Saccharomyces cerevisiae S288C: one gene and its partners. The protein of the gene in region 3 binds, or shares a complex with, the protein of the main gene of each other region. Each region holds a gene or a part of one and is shown on either strand. Other genes may lie near its edges. A codon is read from its position in the direction of its gene.

Region 1 (3,752 bases), on a different chromosome or scaffold from region 3:
ATAAAATTCTTCATCAGAAGTCCTACAAAGGAAACTGAAGAACTTTGTATGGATTTATTAAAAGGATGCATCGATCACGAAAATAATCCTGACTTAAGAGATAAAACACTGATGTATTGGAGATTGCTGTCATTAACGAAAACGTCTCGTATATCAAACGCGATAACTTTTGAATCTTTAAAATCAGTACTGGACGGAGAGTTGCCACTAATAGAAATGAACACGAAATTAGATCCCACCGTTTTGGAGGAATTGGAGCTAAACATTGGTACAATAGTATCGATTTACTTAAAACCTGTTTCTCATATCTTTAGATTGAATAAAACCAAACTGCTACCACAAAGTCCTATTTTGAATCCAAACAAAGACCTCTTGCCAGTTGTAGGTAACTCATTTCCTCCAACTGGAGCTAATAGGGACCGTCAAAATTCAGAAAGCCAGTCCTCGACGAAGTCCAGAAAGACTGCTATGATGGATGATTATGATAAGCCCGCTGAAAAAATTAATCAGTTGAAAGGTAAGCGTAAATCTAGTTCAAACAACCCCTCAAAACTATCACGGAAACCCTCAACTTTATTAAGAAAACTCTCTATGAAACGGCCCTTTTCGTGACTGCAAATGATACTAATTCCTGTATTTAAATATACTCATATTTAACGAACAATTATGATGAATGAAAAAACCTGATATAATAGACTTAACTAAGCGATCATAAAAAAATTCAAAAAGTTATTTTATAAAACAATTCAGATGTTAAACTAAAGAGTTAATGTAATATATATACAATGAACTGCGTCATAAATTCCCATAGTTCAGCTCATGGGACATTATCTACTTATAAAGACGTGGCTTGGCAGCATTTCATATATAAGGCTACTGAATGTAAATTTTTCTTCCATTGTCTTTCCCGTGTCCCGAGAACTCAATTCAAGCACTGTTCTTGGGCGTAATAAACCTTCCGGTACTACTAAAATCAGACAAAGGCAGGAAGCCTCGATTTGACCTTTTAACGGGTAAAGCTCTAAAAGTTGCTCTCTGCTCCATATTCTCGTTTTCCGTCATTTCAGTATCTTTTTCCCCTGCCTCCCTTACCTAAAGCTTCCTCTTCGGCGGCTAGTAATTGGTCTCTTTCCTTTTTGGCTCTTAGCTTCTCTGTCTTTTTTTGTTCCATAATCAGCTTCTTCTGGTTAGGGGTTCTCGCACCTTCTTCCCACCTCTGAGCTTCTTGAGCTTCTAGTTGTTGTTTCTCTAGTTGGTCCTTTTCGTAAGCTTGCCTACGTTTTCTTGCTCTTCCTGCTGCCACTTTTTTGGCAGTTTCTGAGTATCTCTTGCCAGTATTATGCATGTTCGCTTCTTCACTATGTTTGGTGGTTTCTAATGACAACTATGCGGTTAGCAAACTTCCAAAAGGCGGTTAATAATACGACTACACATTATCCTATATATATATATATATGTACGCAAGTGCTTAGATTGGAAAAAAGGGTGCAACATTCTCGATTGTTCTATTTCAGCCTGTTGATATCAATCTGTCGTTCAATGCTTTGTGGGTGTGCTTTACCCACTCTTATACAGTAGTTAAGTGGCAAAAAGGGTGTCAAAGGGAAAGGAAAACCAGAGGAAAAGCAAAATAGCCGCCAATACTAACTCTAGATTTATATCATGTTATACGATTAATCAGACGCGTCTGATTAATTTCAAAAGTTAAAATATAAACTATTTTTGAAATCCCATTGCAATAAGCGAACTATAGCTGAATCTTTCCTGCAAAAATGGAAGTGAAGGGCAATGGACGCATTGTTAACAAAGTTCAACGAGGATAGAAGTCTCCAAGATGAAAACTTGTCCCAACCACGAACGAGAGTAAGAATTGTTGACGACAATCTTTACAACAAATCGAATCCATTCCAACTATGCTATAAAAAACGTGACTACGGTTCTCAGTACTACCACATTTATCAATACCGTCTAAAGACTTTCAGAGAACGCGTCTTAAAAGAATGTGACAAGAGATGGGATGCGGGCTTTACCTTGAATGGCCAATTAGTTCTAAAAAAGGACAAAGTGTTAGATATTCAGGGAAACCAACCATGTTGGTGCGTAGGATCCATATATTGCGAGATGAAATATAAACCAAACGTACTGGACGAAGTGATCAATGATACATATGGTGCACCAGATTTAACTAAAAGTTATACTGATAAAGAGGGTGGTTCTGATGAAATTATGCTCGAAGATGAAAGTGGGAGAGTGCTTCTAGTGGGAGATTTTATTCGGTCTACACCCTTCATCACGGGTGTTGTTGTAGGTATACTGGGTATGGAAGCTGAAGCCGGGACATTTCAAGTTTTAGACATATGCTACCCCACTCCTTTACCACAAAATCCTTTCCCTGCACCAATTGCTACCTGCCCCACCAGGGGAAAAATTGCTCTTGTTTCTGGGTTAAACCTCAATAATACATCACCTGATAGGCTATTGAGATTGGAGATTTTGAGAGAATTTTTGATGGGGAGAATCAATAACAAAATTGACGACATTTCTCTAATTGGTAGATTACTGATATGCGGCAACTCTGTTGACTTCGACATTAAAAGCGTGAACAAAGACGAATTGATGATTTCTCTAACTGAGTTCAGTAAATTTCTACACAACATTTTGCCATCTATATCTGTTGATATTATGCCCGGAACCAATGATCCAAGTGACAAATCTCTACCGCAACAGCCTTTCCACAAATCATTGTTTGATAAGTCCCTAGAATCATACTTCAACGGTTCTAACAAAGAAATTTTGAATTTAGTGACCAACCCATATGAGTTTAGCTATAATGGCGTAGACGTTCTAGCCGTTTCAGGCAAAAATATCAATGATATTTGTAAATACGTAATACCATCAAATGATAACGGAGAAAGTGAAAACAAGGTCGAGGAGGGCGAGAGTAATGATTTCAAAGACGATATAGAGCATCGCCTGGACCTTATGGAATGTACAATGAAATGGCAAAACATCGCGCCCACCGCACCTGATACCTTATGGTGTTATCCGTACACTGATAAGGATCCATTTGTATTGGATAAGTGGCCCCACGTTTACATTGTGGCAAACCAGCCATATTTTGGAACAAGAGTAGTGGAAATAGGTGGTAAGAACATAAAGATAATATCTGTCCCTGAATTCAGTTCTACTGGGATGATAATATTACTGGATTTGGAAACGTTAGAAGCAGAGACGGTCAAGATTGACATTTAAATAAAACAAGGAATAATTTCCACATAGATATGCAATTAAGTTTTATATGTAAAAGTGAGCATTCATCGTTCAGCTCAAAATACGTTTCTTGTCACAGCTGGTAGAAAAACTATGAGCGTTTTTTCTTACCCGCAGTCGGAGAAAAATTTTTTCTTCGAAGAGGCGAAAAAGAGAAGAAGAGAAAGCACAAATCTGATGAAATAGTAGTATAAAATCGCATTTACAAATTTTCAACCATTGTTTATTTCCTAGGTCATTAAAGAGTAAAGTGCAATCTGTTTACTAATCAGTTTTTGTCTTCATATTTTTGTGTCTTTTCTGCTGCCTCACGCACCTTCTATAATACACCAAATAATGTCCACTTCTCATTGCAGATTTTATGAAAACAAATACCCAGAAATTGACGATATCGTCATGGTTAACGTCCAGCAGATTGCTGAAATGGGTGCTTATGTTAAATTGTTAGAATATGACAACATTGAAGGTATGATTCTACTAAG
Region 2 (3,255 bases), on a different chromosome or scaffold from region 3:
TGAGGGACAGAGAAGATTGGGGCCAAGCGCTGCGCCTATTGCTTTTGCTGATTGAATTCCCTTATTTACCAAAACATTACTTGGTTTTGCTTGTGGCGAAATTCCTGTACCCAATTTTCCTTTTAGATGATAAGAAGCTAATGGATGAAGATTCAGTGGCGACAGTCATTGAAGTTATAGAAACTAAATGGGATGACGCTGATGAAAAAAGTTCAAACTTATATGAAACCATTATTGAAGCAGATAAAAGCTTACCTAGTAGCATGGCAACACTTTTGAAAAATTTAAGAAAGAAACTAAATTTCAAATTATGTCAAGCGTTCATGTAAATCAGTATAGTAATGTCCTTCGGATGGTATATTAGGATATATGACGAAAATAAGTAAATTTAAACAACAATATATATTTATATTGATCTATTTTTCTATCACGTAAGTTGACATTTGTATTATACATTACATCACAATTAGTAATGGAAAGTGTTTGGAAAAAAAAGAAGATTATTTTGCCTTTCTTTTGAAAAAGCTTTCCAATGTTCCTTGCTTTTTTAACCTTTTATTCGATGACGGCGTTTCTTGCTTTTTTGAAGACGACAATGCCCTTTTTACCACGGGTGATGGCTTGCGTGGTGGTGTTGAAGTTGCGGGTCTCTTTGTCACAATATATCCATCCTCATCAATAAAAGAGGAGGGCTCTTCTTCAGATTTAGGTTCCTTTGAATGTTCTGTTTCAGAAGGCTTTGTTTGCTGTATTTTAGGTACATCCATAAGTGAATCTTCTGCTGTCGTTTCCAACAAGTCTTCTAAATCATCGTTGTTTTTGTCCTTATCGTTGCTGTCAGTTTCTTTAGGTGAGTTGGGCTTGGACCCTCCATTTACTTCCTCTGTATCTAAGTCATCTTCGACAAAAAGATTATTTAACTCTTTCATTTGAGCTTCTCTTTCAGGGTTCTGTTTATTTATTTTTTGCAAGTTCTCCTCTTTCCTTTTACGTAACTCATTTTGTCTAGAGGTTTCCTTGTCATCTCTATCCTTTTTCATCTTAGCCAGCAGTGCAGTAGACCTGAGACCCATGTCTTTAGATTTGGATTTCCTTCCGGTTGTTTCTTCTGGCGTGGTCTTTGATCTTGCTGTAGGCCTTACCAAAGGTTTAGATTTCTCTTCTAACGTCTTAGTCCTCTCTATAATTTTCGATGATTCAGAAACTTTAAGTTCGTATGAATTTTTAATGGTTAAACAATCCTTTTGATCGATAATGTCGTAATATGGTATGAAGCTGTCCATGGGATTGAAGGCATAGATGAAACAATCAATTATTGAATCTTGCTGTGGAATGTTGGAAAGATCATGAATAATTTTAATAGTTTGATCTTTGTAGCAGCATATCACTACGCAGTTGTATTTGGCATTGGTGGTCTGTTTGTAATAGTCAAACATTAATTTCTTGGCCATGGATGGGCCGATCTTCAAGTGGTGAATTAGATCCGTAAAAAGGACGGGCTTTACCTCAGTGAAGAGCTTCTCATTGATAAAATATGACGCCTTTTGATCCATTAATTACCGATTGAGTTAACTAAAGCCTATTTCTGGTTGTTAGTTAATGTGAAATATTATTTCGAGCTGATCTGATTGCGATGTAACGAACTTCTGCGTACTTTTCAAAATTAAGAGTTTCGCGTGTTTAACTCATACGCGTTTACTACTTCCGTCGGAAAGTTACACCGTAGTGGAAAATAGACCTATTCGTTAGTATAACCTTATTAAGGTACTTCCATTAATGAAGTGTTCTATATTGAGGCATACTGATCGAGAATTTTCATAAGGTGAAACGATAAAAATATAAAAATTAAGCTTAGCGCCGCTCGGTTTCGATCCGAGGACATCAGGGTTATGAGCCCTGCGCGCTTCCACTGCGCCACGGCGCTTAACTTTTATGAATATTTTAGACTTAATAAAGATTCATATTGTAAAATTAAAAACAACTTGCACACTGAGCTGTGTTAGAATGAAATCCTACTATAATCCATAGTAGTATTCATGTCACTAGCACATTACAAAATATGCCATAGGAAGATGACGTAAAGATTGAGAACTAGTCATCAGATATAATAGAAGCTGAAAAGCAAGAATTGATAATATCGGACGCTATCCTACAATAGCAGCGCAGTTGCATAATTTGTTATGTGTCGTCTTTATTGTGTGTAAAGCTTTATACACCTTTACCTTTGTGTAGAAGACAAAGACATTGTTGTTATCACTATGTCCACATTCGCTACGAGGATATTTTCAACATATCTAGTTGAAATACAAATCTCAAGCCACTATAAAAACTGCGGAATCAAACAAATGTACAATACATTATCCTACTAGAGACTAATTTCTCAAGGTTTGCAATCCCATCTCTTTTCATGAGGTATATTGCGGCACAGAATGGTTGTACGACCATTGCTCAACGTTTCCGCTCATAGATCGATTCAAATAAGATTATAGACATGTGGCGATTCAATGCCAATCCTTATCCCGAAATTACGGATGTATTCAGCCAACTTTGCCTATCTACATTATTCTGTCAACTAGAGGCTAAAGACACGAATTTCTTGGCATTTTTTGTTTGAAAACTTGAAATGGAAGAAAGACAGAAAGTAATTTTATGTAATCTATTATATTTAAGTAGTTCTAAAAAAAAGGAGAAATCGACGCCAGATTTCCCACCTTGAGTAGAGTATCATACTATATAATATCAATGTACGGTTCACGCACCCAGTTGGCTTAGTCTGTTGAGGGGATGAGTAATTGTTATATATTAACCAAAAAGGGAATCATCTTCGTTGAAATCTTTTTTGAAAAACCATTTAAAAATAACAATACTAGAATATATGATAAGACCACCGATCATGCACATGATACAACTCAAATGGCCAATCAATTGGCAATGATAGAAAACAACAGGGAGTGCTATACCGCTTGTCACCAGCATTCCTGTAAGGAAGTGAGCCAGATCTTGGCCAGTGTTTGATGAATCGGACATGAAGTCAGATGTGTGATATTTATTTCCTGCATTGAAAATTGTGTTTGGTATTGGGGCAAGCAAAAAGATCAAAATATCGAATAGTGGGTAGTAATTATGGAATAATGCGCAGCTTAGTATGACCAAAAGGAATCCCAATGCGAGGAATCCTGACAGAGAAATAATCTTTGTCAATGGTGACACTTTGAATTCCATCATAACCGTCTGGGATTTTATGTATTAAGATTC
Region 3 (8,152 bases):
CCAACGATTGCCCTCTGATTTTGTCCGTGCAATACGTGGGTAAAATTCGTGACATAAAAACACATCATGATAAGACTTTTGGTATTTTCAAAACCAATTTTATGGATCGTAAAACCGGTACTGCCAATAATCACGTCGTTGCTACTCACTGCCAACCGTTTTCCGCTAGCAATATTTTCCCATGTATTGACGAGCCTTCAAACAAGTCCACTTTTCAATTGAACATTGCAACGGATGCACAATATAAAGCCGTTTCCAATACTCCTGTAGAGATGGTCGAAGCTTTGGATAGTTCTCAAAAACATTTGGTGAAATTTGCCAAGACACCTTTGATGACTACTTCCGTATTTGGTTTTTCTATTGGTGATTTAGAATTTTTGAAAACGGAAATCAAGTTGGAAGGTGATAGGACTATTCCCGTTTCAATTTATGCACCTTGGGATATTGCTAATGCAGCTTTCACTTTAGATACAGTCCAGAAATATCTACCTTTGTTGGAATCCTATTTTAAATGTCCATACCCTCTGCCAAAGTTAGATTTCGTCCTACTACCATATTTAAGTGACATGGCAATGGAGAACTTTGGTATGATCACCATCCAACTAAACCACCTGCTCATACCACCAAATGCCTTGGCCAATGAAACCGTCAGAGAGCAAGCACAGCAACTCATTGTCCACGAACTCGTTCATCAATGGATGGGCAACTACATATCTTTTGACTCGTGGGAATCTCTTTGGTTTAATGAGTCTTTCGCTACTTGGTTAGCTTGCCACATACTAGAACAGAATGGTGACCTATCCCATTATTGGACCTCGGAACCTTATTTACTACAGCAAGTGGAGCCGACCATGTGCAGAGATGCAGCTGACGTTAATGGAAGAAGCATATTTCAGATTGCGCAACGGAACACTGGCATAGATTCTCAAACCTCCGATATTTTTGATCCTGAGGCATACACAAAGGGTATTATCATGCTGAGGTCCCTGCAATTGGCTACAGGCGAATCTCATCTACAAAAGGGCCTGGAAAGTGTATTTGAAGATACTAAAACATTTCATGCGAGAAGCGTCAAACCAATGGATATATGGAATCATATCGGAAAATTTTTGAAGTCTCAAAATATTACAAACTTTGTTTCATCTTGGACAAGAACGCCAGGCTTACCTGTCGTTAAGGTCGAAGTAGAAGAGAAAGACGGGAAAACGCAAACAAAATTGACTCAACACAGATTTATCAATCAATTATCTACTGAAGAAAAGGATCAGTTAGAAGATGTCCCATATCAGGTACCCTTATTCGGGGTTCTGCCAGATGGTAAAATGGATACTAAAAATGTACTATTGACGGATAGGACCTTAAAGTTCGATTATCCTATCTTAGTAATTAACCATTTAGCCCAAGGTTATTACCGCGTTTCATATGAGTCCGAAGAGTGCTATGCATTGATTAATGATAAAATAACTGAGGAGACGTTATCCGAGATTGACCTTCGGAAGATTTTCTTAGACTTGTCGCAGTTTATTGGAGATGAGGGTTTCCAGAATTCTATTCATTTGCACGGTCTCTTTAAGATACTAAACCATATCGCTTCTCCTTCCACAAAGATTGCATCAAAATATTGGGATCCTCTTTCCAAGGGGTTGGAAGTTCTGCAAACGATCGATCGTGCCAGTTTAACGAGCTCTAAATTACAATCTTTCTTAAAGAAAAAAATTGTCATTCCCCTTTTCAATAAGATTGATTGGCCCCACGGTGAATTTGATAAAAGCACAAACCCTCACGAGTTGAAAGTCATGTCTCAAGTCTTGTTTTTAAATAAAAACTCCGCAAAATGTGCTGAATTGTGTCAAATTTATTTTAAACATCTATTACAGGGCCCACGTTCGAGCGTACCGTTAGAATTAGTGAACTCAATCCTTGTCGTCGTATCGCAACATTGTGCAAACATCAAGCAGTGGAAGAAAATATTCGATTTGGTGAAACGCAGTTCCTGTACTGGTATCACAAACCATGTCATTAATATGTATGACCAAAACAGTAGCGAAACCGCCATGTTGATTCAAAACGGTGCAATAGAATCTCTTGGATTCTGTTTAGATTCTGATATCGTGAAAAAAACTTTGAATTTTATCACTTCCAATATTGAGTCAGAGGGGATGGAACTGGCATTATTCGGATTTAATTACAACTTTAAGAAGAGGCTGAACAAAAACGAGAAACCTCAAGACCAAGTCGTTCGTGAAACGATCTGGGAGTGGTATATGGGCAATTTTGACCAATGGGCACGGAAGGCTACAAGGAAAGGTACCACCACGGGGGATCATCTACACAAGGCGTTAAGGAGTATTTCCCTGATAATCTTTCAAATGTTTGTAGCAGACGAGCCACAGAAGATAGAAAAGTTTATTAATTTGGAGAAAGAGAAGTTGGGTCAAAGCTTGTTATCTTTGGACGACATCTGGGCCTCTGTCCAGCAAGATGAAGAGTCCAGAAAGACTATAAGAAGAGACTTGGCCTCCTTGGTCTGATTTTTTACAAGTATTTCAACACACTATCGTACGTAGATTTAGTAGTCTTCTAAAATAGTACTATAAACGATGTTCTCTTAGCAGAATTCGAGTTATTATTGTCATATACTACGAAAAACCTGTAGATTCAACAATAATAGGTTGGTATAAAAGAATGTAAACATAAGGAATATTAATCTAGTAATTTTTTTCTCATGAGGTTGAGAAAGCATCTAAAATAGCAATTAGCAAAATGGAGAAGATCAAAGAGAAATTGAATAGCTTAAAATTAGAATCTGAGTCATGGCAAGAAAAATATGAGGAGCTGAGAGAACAGCTCAAAGAATTAGAGCAATCTAACACTGAAAAAGAAAACGAGATTAAATCTTTGTCCGCTAAAAACGAGCAACTCGACAGTGAAGTGGAGAAGTTAGAGAGTCAATTGTCTGATACAAAGCAATTGGCTGAAGACTCCAATAACTTGAGATCTAATAATGAGAACTACACCAAGAAAAACCAGGATCTAGAACAACAGCTAGAAGACAGTGAAGCCAAACTGAAGGAAGCAATGGATAAACTGAAAGAGGCCGATTTGAACTCTGAGCAAATGGGTAGAAGGATCGTTGCTTTGGAAGAAGAAAGAGATGAATGGGAAAAGAAGTGCGAAGAATTCCAAAGCAAATATGAAGAAGCTCAAAAAGAATTGGACGAAATTGCTAATTCATTGGAAAATTTATGATTCCCATTGATAAGACTAAAATTACGGAAGATACAAACGACAAACGCGCTAAAGGCAACGGAGGTGATGATTTTATTATTGCTCACACAACTGATGTTGCTGACAGATGGCAAATCCTTTTCATTTTAGTTATTATCATTGGGTGCTTTTTGGAAAAAAGATGAACTAAGCCTCTCTTTATTTCGTCCATTTTATTCTAGCTTTTACATTATGCTTTCACCTTTACCAAAAAATAGTATGTATTTCTTTTCCCCTTGCTATAAATCAAAAGTACGTAGAAACATAAACAGGCGAGAAATACATATGCATATACGTCTACACTACTAATTTAATTTCCACTTTCTTAATATCAGTCAATCGAAACCACTAGCTTTCACACTAAGACTAGACCCTGTTTAACTAATATAAACTTTTCCAGAAAGCTAAAAAAAAGGTCGGAAAAAGAAGGTATACGTTTTTGCGACGACTGAGATCCAAGAAGAAAAAAAAAATAGTAATCGTTGCGTCAGCTTTATGAATAGATGGGTAGAGAAGTGGCTGAGGGTATACTTAAAATGCTACATTAATTTGATTTTATTTTATAGAAATGTATACCCACCTCAGTCATTCGACTACACTACTTACCAGTCATTCAACTTGCCGCAGTTCGTTCCCATTAATAGGCATCCTGCTTTAATTGACTATATAGAAGAACTTATACTGGATGTTCTTTCTAAATTAACGCACGTTTACAGATTTTCCATCTGCATTATTAATAAAAAGAACGATTTATGCATTGAAAAATACGTTTTAGATTTTAGTGAATTACAACATGTGGATAAAGACGATCAGATCATTACGGAAACTGAAGTGTTCGACGAATTCCGATCTTCCTTAAATAGTTTGATTATGCATTTGGAGAAATTACCTAAAGTCAACGATGACACAATAACATTTGAAGCAGTTATTAATGCGATCGAATTGGAACTAGGACATAAGTTGGACAGAAACAGGAGGGTCGATAGTTTGGAGGAAAAAGCAGAAATTGAAAGGGATTCAAACTGGGTTAAATGTCAAGAAGATGAAAATTTACCAGACAATAATGGTTTTCAACCTCCTAAAATAAAACTCACTTCTTTAGTCGGTTCTGACGTGGGGCCTTTGATTATTCATCAGTTTAGTGAAAAATTAATCAGCGGTGACGACAAAATTTTGAATGGAGTGTATTCTCAATATGAAGAGGGCGAGAGCATTTTTGGATCTTTGTTTTAAGTGCAAAAATGAAATTTGAAGAATGGAATTAAAATTAAATGTCTCTAAGTATAAAAACTAAATAAAATATAGGGTATCTGTAAACCACTAATAAAAAATAAAACAGGAAAATAAAATTAAGCAAAATATCGTTGCGTATAATCACAGCATTTCTGGGATGCGTCCGTGAATGTCCTTAACTTGACCAACATTGACATTACTCTTATTTGAAAAATCTACTAACCTTTTCTTACTTGGTCTTCTGTCTGGTTCCATGCTATGGACCCAGCAAAAATTTTCACCATCTTTAACCGGAACAAAATCGTCAGAAGATGAAGTTGACATTGTTGTGGGAGTGATTCCGTTTTTACCGCTTTGAGAGTCTTGAATATTTTGTAAGTGGCGGTTACGATGCTTCGTTACGTTATATGGTGATGGTGTTACTGATTTTCTTACGGGAGAAGGGCTAATATTGCTGTTCCAAGGGTCCAGTGAAGACATAGTGACATCCCTTGACGTACGTTTTTCCTTCTCTGGTGCTTCTAAATCGAAAAGTTTTTCTGTATCAACAGTTTTTTGTGATCCGTAACTGTCTCTGACAATATCAGAGACTGGTGACAGGTTGCCAGTATATCGCCAGGATTTATTTACTGCTGGTTCACTATCCATATACACAGAAGAAGACCTATTCTGTGGGTCAAAGAACGGGCTCTCTGGAGGCTGTACTGGGGGTTTTGCTAATAATTCTTCTTTACTTTGGGATTGGAACTGATCATTGTATGTATTCATACCTGATAGAGAATCTCTCTTTTCATCCACGCTGGAAATATCAGATTCAGTGGCAGAGTGGTTATCCAATTTCAAAGTGTTCAAAGCAGCCAATCTTCTTGCTATTGAAGTATCATCGTACGAGGAAGCATCATCATCAAAGGGGTTGTTCAAAGGTGTAGCGTTTTCTTGATTTGGTTTATTTGCAGGATTATTCAAATCAGGTCCACTAATAGCATGCGGTAAGTTTTCATCGTCTGGATTTTCCCTTCTGCGTCTCCAGAATATTAGGAAGCAAATGAGAGCTACTAGGATAACGCCTAATGGGATAGCAACACCGCACGCAATTGCTACTGCTTTTTTATTGTGAGATGAAGTTTTATTGGCTGCTGGCAGCGCTGCTGGAGCAGAAGAAGTAGCAGCAGCGGAGGTAGAAGAAATTTTTGCAGTGTAAGTAGAAGATGTGTAAGAACTTGTTGAGGTGGAGTGGTGAGAACTTCTTGTGGACGTTGCATTCGCACTGTGGTTTGAGTGAGTTATCTTTGAATCCATGCCAATGATGTTAAAATATAGCTCTTGAGATTGTGAACCTTGGTTCGCTTTCAAACCTAATGAAAGCTTGTCGAAATTCTTGGGCACTTCTCCAGCTAATGTTAAATTAGATGATTGGAATTTCACCCAGTCATGGTCTTGGCTTGAATTAGTAAACTCTAATGAAACGTTTGTATTCACGTAGTCTGTAAACTGAGAAGGCAAAAAATAGTAGGAGAACCATTCACCCCTTGTAGCGTTAATATTGGGAAGAGAACTAATGGCAAACAAATCCGTTGTGGAGACAACTTCGAAGTTGAAATAAATCACATCACCATAAGTATCATAAATGGACACAGAAAAATTGGCAGGATTGGAGTTCTTACCGAGTAATTCATCTGGGACAGACCCGGAAATGGTAGCATTATCTAATGCCACCCAGTCTGGAGCATCCAATAAGTTTATAGAACCCAATTTATCAGAAGAAATAGGATCGTCATCGAGATAAACATAGTTTAGAGGTAAGTCATATGAAACGTTACCTGTGTCAGTAACGTTGATTATCAAACTATTTTGAATAGAGGTAGTTAACTGGTGAGCCCCGATGACTAATTCGAATTCTACCTCAACGGCAGAAAATCCTTCAATGTCTGTAGCGATGATGACAAAACTGTAGCTTGTTTCTGGAGCAATCGCCGAGTTTATCACCGGTGCCGTCCCAGTAAACTTCAACTCGCCAGAATCGAAGAACAGCCAATTGGGTAACGGCGCATTATACAACTGAGAACGTCCGTAATACGACACAATGGATTCTTCGTTAGTGAACATTGAACGGTCAAAAGTCACGTTGAAGACTTCATTAGGATCTAGTTTCAGAGCGTTTTTGCCGTTAGTATAACCATAGTTTTTTAACAACGCCAATAGATTGAAATCTGACGATAGCGAGATGGATGGACGGTTTGTAACAACAAATTGGTATGTATTGTTCAAAGACGTGCTGTCGGCAGAGTCCGTACCCTCGAGTATTACATTGAAATACAACGTGGTGTTCGCATCAGATAGTAAGTCAGAAGAAGGTTCACCTGAGAACGTTCTAGAACTAGAGTCAAACGAAAGCCAGCTCGGTAAGTCGAAGCAATTGTATGTTATTTGAGCTGTCTTGTCTACAGACGATTTATAGGTATCATTGGAAATTTGAAATGTAAACGATTCATTGACTCTTGCCACTGGGGGGTATTGTTTTCCGATAGGATATGCCTCATAGGGCGTGGCCACTACTAGATGGAGTAGTGATATAGTAGCTGTCAGCAATAATGAAATCTGAAGCTGTGTCATGGTAAGTGAATGCTTCTTGATATACGTAGATGTTGGAAGCAGGAAATCGTTTCGAGGAAGATATAATTTTTCTATTAAGTAATTGTTCTGTTCTTCTAGTGATGGTGGCTGTTGCAGTGTCAATCACTACAGGATGTGAGAGTAAAGAATAAGAAAATAAGTTCTCATATGAAAAGTGAAAATTACTCGACAAAGGAGGGCGACTCTCGGCAAGGAGCTTTGAGGTTGTGGAGATGCTATCTTTAACCATACCTACGATGGGTATTATTACATTCTTGAGACAGGGCTCGAGTACTGCTCGAAGAGGAAACATAAGTTGCCAAAATTTATTTGTGACGCGAATTGCCAAAAGTTCTATGACGCGTTGTTCTTTTTTTTTCGCGTCTTTGAATTATATAGTGGATAATTTTTGCGTTCTGTTTCTAATTATAATAATGACAGTGTGGCGGTTTATTATTTTCGAGGTATATCCTAAATATGTTACATATGTTGTCTATTGGCGGTTCTTGGTCTTGCACGGATGATGTTATCCACCCTTAGTAGAACTTCAGCGGCTTCAGATGCAGAGCTGACTACTGCTCGTTTTAGCTTGTAACTCTCGACGATACCTAACTGTCTCATGTCGGCAATGGTTCCGTTGTTGAGATCTAAACCTGAGGTGGAGATACCGTTGTATATGGAGGATCTTAGTTTGGACACAAGTTCGCTGCTGTCAAAACCAGCATTATCTGCCAAAATGGTTGGCAGTTGTCTCAGAGCACGGGCAAAAGCCTCCACGGCAAGGGACTTCTTTCCGTCGATGTTTTGAGCTTCGGTGTCCACAGCTTTTGACATGACCATCTCGGCGCAACCGCCGCCAAGAACAGTTCTTGTTTCCTTTGTGGTCTGTGACAACACGGACAATGCGTCATGCAGGGATCTCTCAGCTTCATCAAGCGTTTGGTCGGTAGCACCTCTTAGGACGATGGTACAAGCTTCACCAGCTTTGCAACCACTAAACTTCAAGAATGGCTGTTCACCAAGCATAATTTCCTCGATC

The links.
Region 1: the proteins of REV7 (region 3) and POL31 are in contact, whole or in part, in a cryo-EM structure (PDB 7LXD), measured with the Saccharomyces cerevisiae proteins. Residues at the interface, in NP_012127.1 of Saccharomyces cerevisiae: Asp33 (codon at 3,859), Tyr34 (codon at 3,862), Thr35 (codon at 3,865), Thr36 (codon at 3,868), Tyr37 (codon at 3,871), Ser39 (codon at 3,877), Phe40 (codon at 3,880), Asn41 (codon at 3,883), Phe45 (codon at 3,895); in NP_012539.1 of Saccharomyces cerevisiae: Asn224 (codon at 2,458), Thr225 (codon at 2,461), Ser226 (codon at 2,464), Pro227 (codon at 2,467), Leu230 (codon at 2,476), Asn272 (codon at 2,602), Asp274 (codon at 2,608), Glu275 (codon at 2,611), Ile278 (codon at 2,620).
Region 2: the proteins of REV7 (region 3) and POL32 are in contact, whole or in part, in a cryo-EM structure (PDB 7LXD), measured with the Saccharomyces cerevisiae proteins. Residues at the interface, in NP_012127.1 of Saccharomyces cerevisiae: Tyr23 (codon at 3,829), Tyr34 (codon at 3,862), Pro43 (codon at 3,889), Gln44 (codon at 3,892), Phe45 (codon at 3,895), Thr111 (codon at 4,093), Asp115 (codon at 4,105), Arg118 (codon at 4,114), Ser119 (codon at 4,117), Asn122 (codon at 4,126), Ser123 (codon at 4,129), Ile125 (codon at 4,135), Met126 (codon at 4,138), Glu129 (codon at 4,147), Lys130 (codon at 4,150), Val203 (codon at 4,369); in NP_012577.1 of Saccharomyces cerevisiae: Phe14 (codon at 1,514), Thr15 (codon at 1,511), Glu16 (codon at 1,508), Val17 (codon at 1,505), Lys18 (codon at 1,502), Lys51 (codon at 1,403), Pro90 (codon at 1,286), Met91 (codon at 1,283), Asp92 (codon at 1,280), Ile95 (codon at 1,271), Pro96 (codon at 1,268), Tyr97 (codon at 1,265), Asp99 (codon at 1,259).

Annotation. Positions count from the first base shown.
Region 1 is NC_001142.9:447,414-451,165, forward strand, and holds POL31 (DNA-directed DNA polymerase delta subunit POL31), read left to right. Parts: upstream 1-1,788; coding exon 1,789-3,252; downstream 3,253-3,752. Other genes in the region: APL1 (Apl1p), read left to right, coding at 1-612; LSO1 (Lso1p), read right to left, coding at 1,064-1,345; SUI2 (translation initiation factor eIF2 subunit alpha), read left to right, coding at 3,607-3,752. UniProt on the Saccharomyces cerevisiae protein: DNA polymerase delta (DNA polymerase III) participates in chromosomal DNA replication.
Region 2 is NC_001142.9:515,961-519,215, forward strand, and holds POL32 (DNA polymerase delta subunit POL32), read right to left. Parts: upstream 1,554-3,255; coding exon 501-1,553; downstream 1-500. Other genes in the region: NUP85 (Nup85p), read left to right, coding at 1-329; VPS55 (Vps55p), read right to left, coding at 2,803-3,225. UniProt on the Saccharomyces cerevisiae protein: DNA polymerase delta (DNA polymerase III) participates in chromosomal DNA replication.
Region 3 is NC_001141.2:84,327-92,478, reverse strand, and holds REV7 (Rev7p), read left to right. Parts: upstream 1-3,762; coding exon 3,763-4,500; downstream 4,501-8,152. Other genes in the region: TMA108 (Tma108p), read left to right, coding at 1-2,531; tropomyosin TPM2, read left to right, coding at 2,764-3,249; AXL2 (Axl2p), read right to left, coding at 4,642-7,113; chaperonin-containing T-complex subunit CCT2, read right to left, coding at 7,594-8,152. UniProt on the Saccharomyces cerevisiae protein: Required for DNA damage induced mutagenesis. Involved in DNA repair, mitochondrial DNA repair and translesion synthesis. Has a role in the bypass of abasic (AP) sites.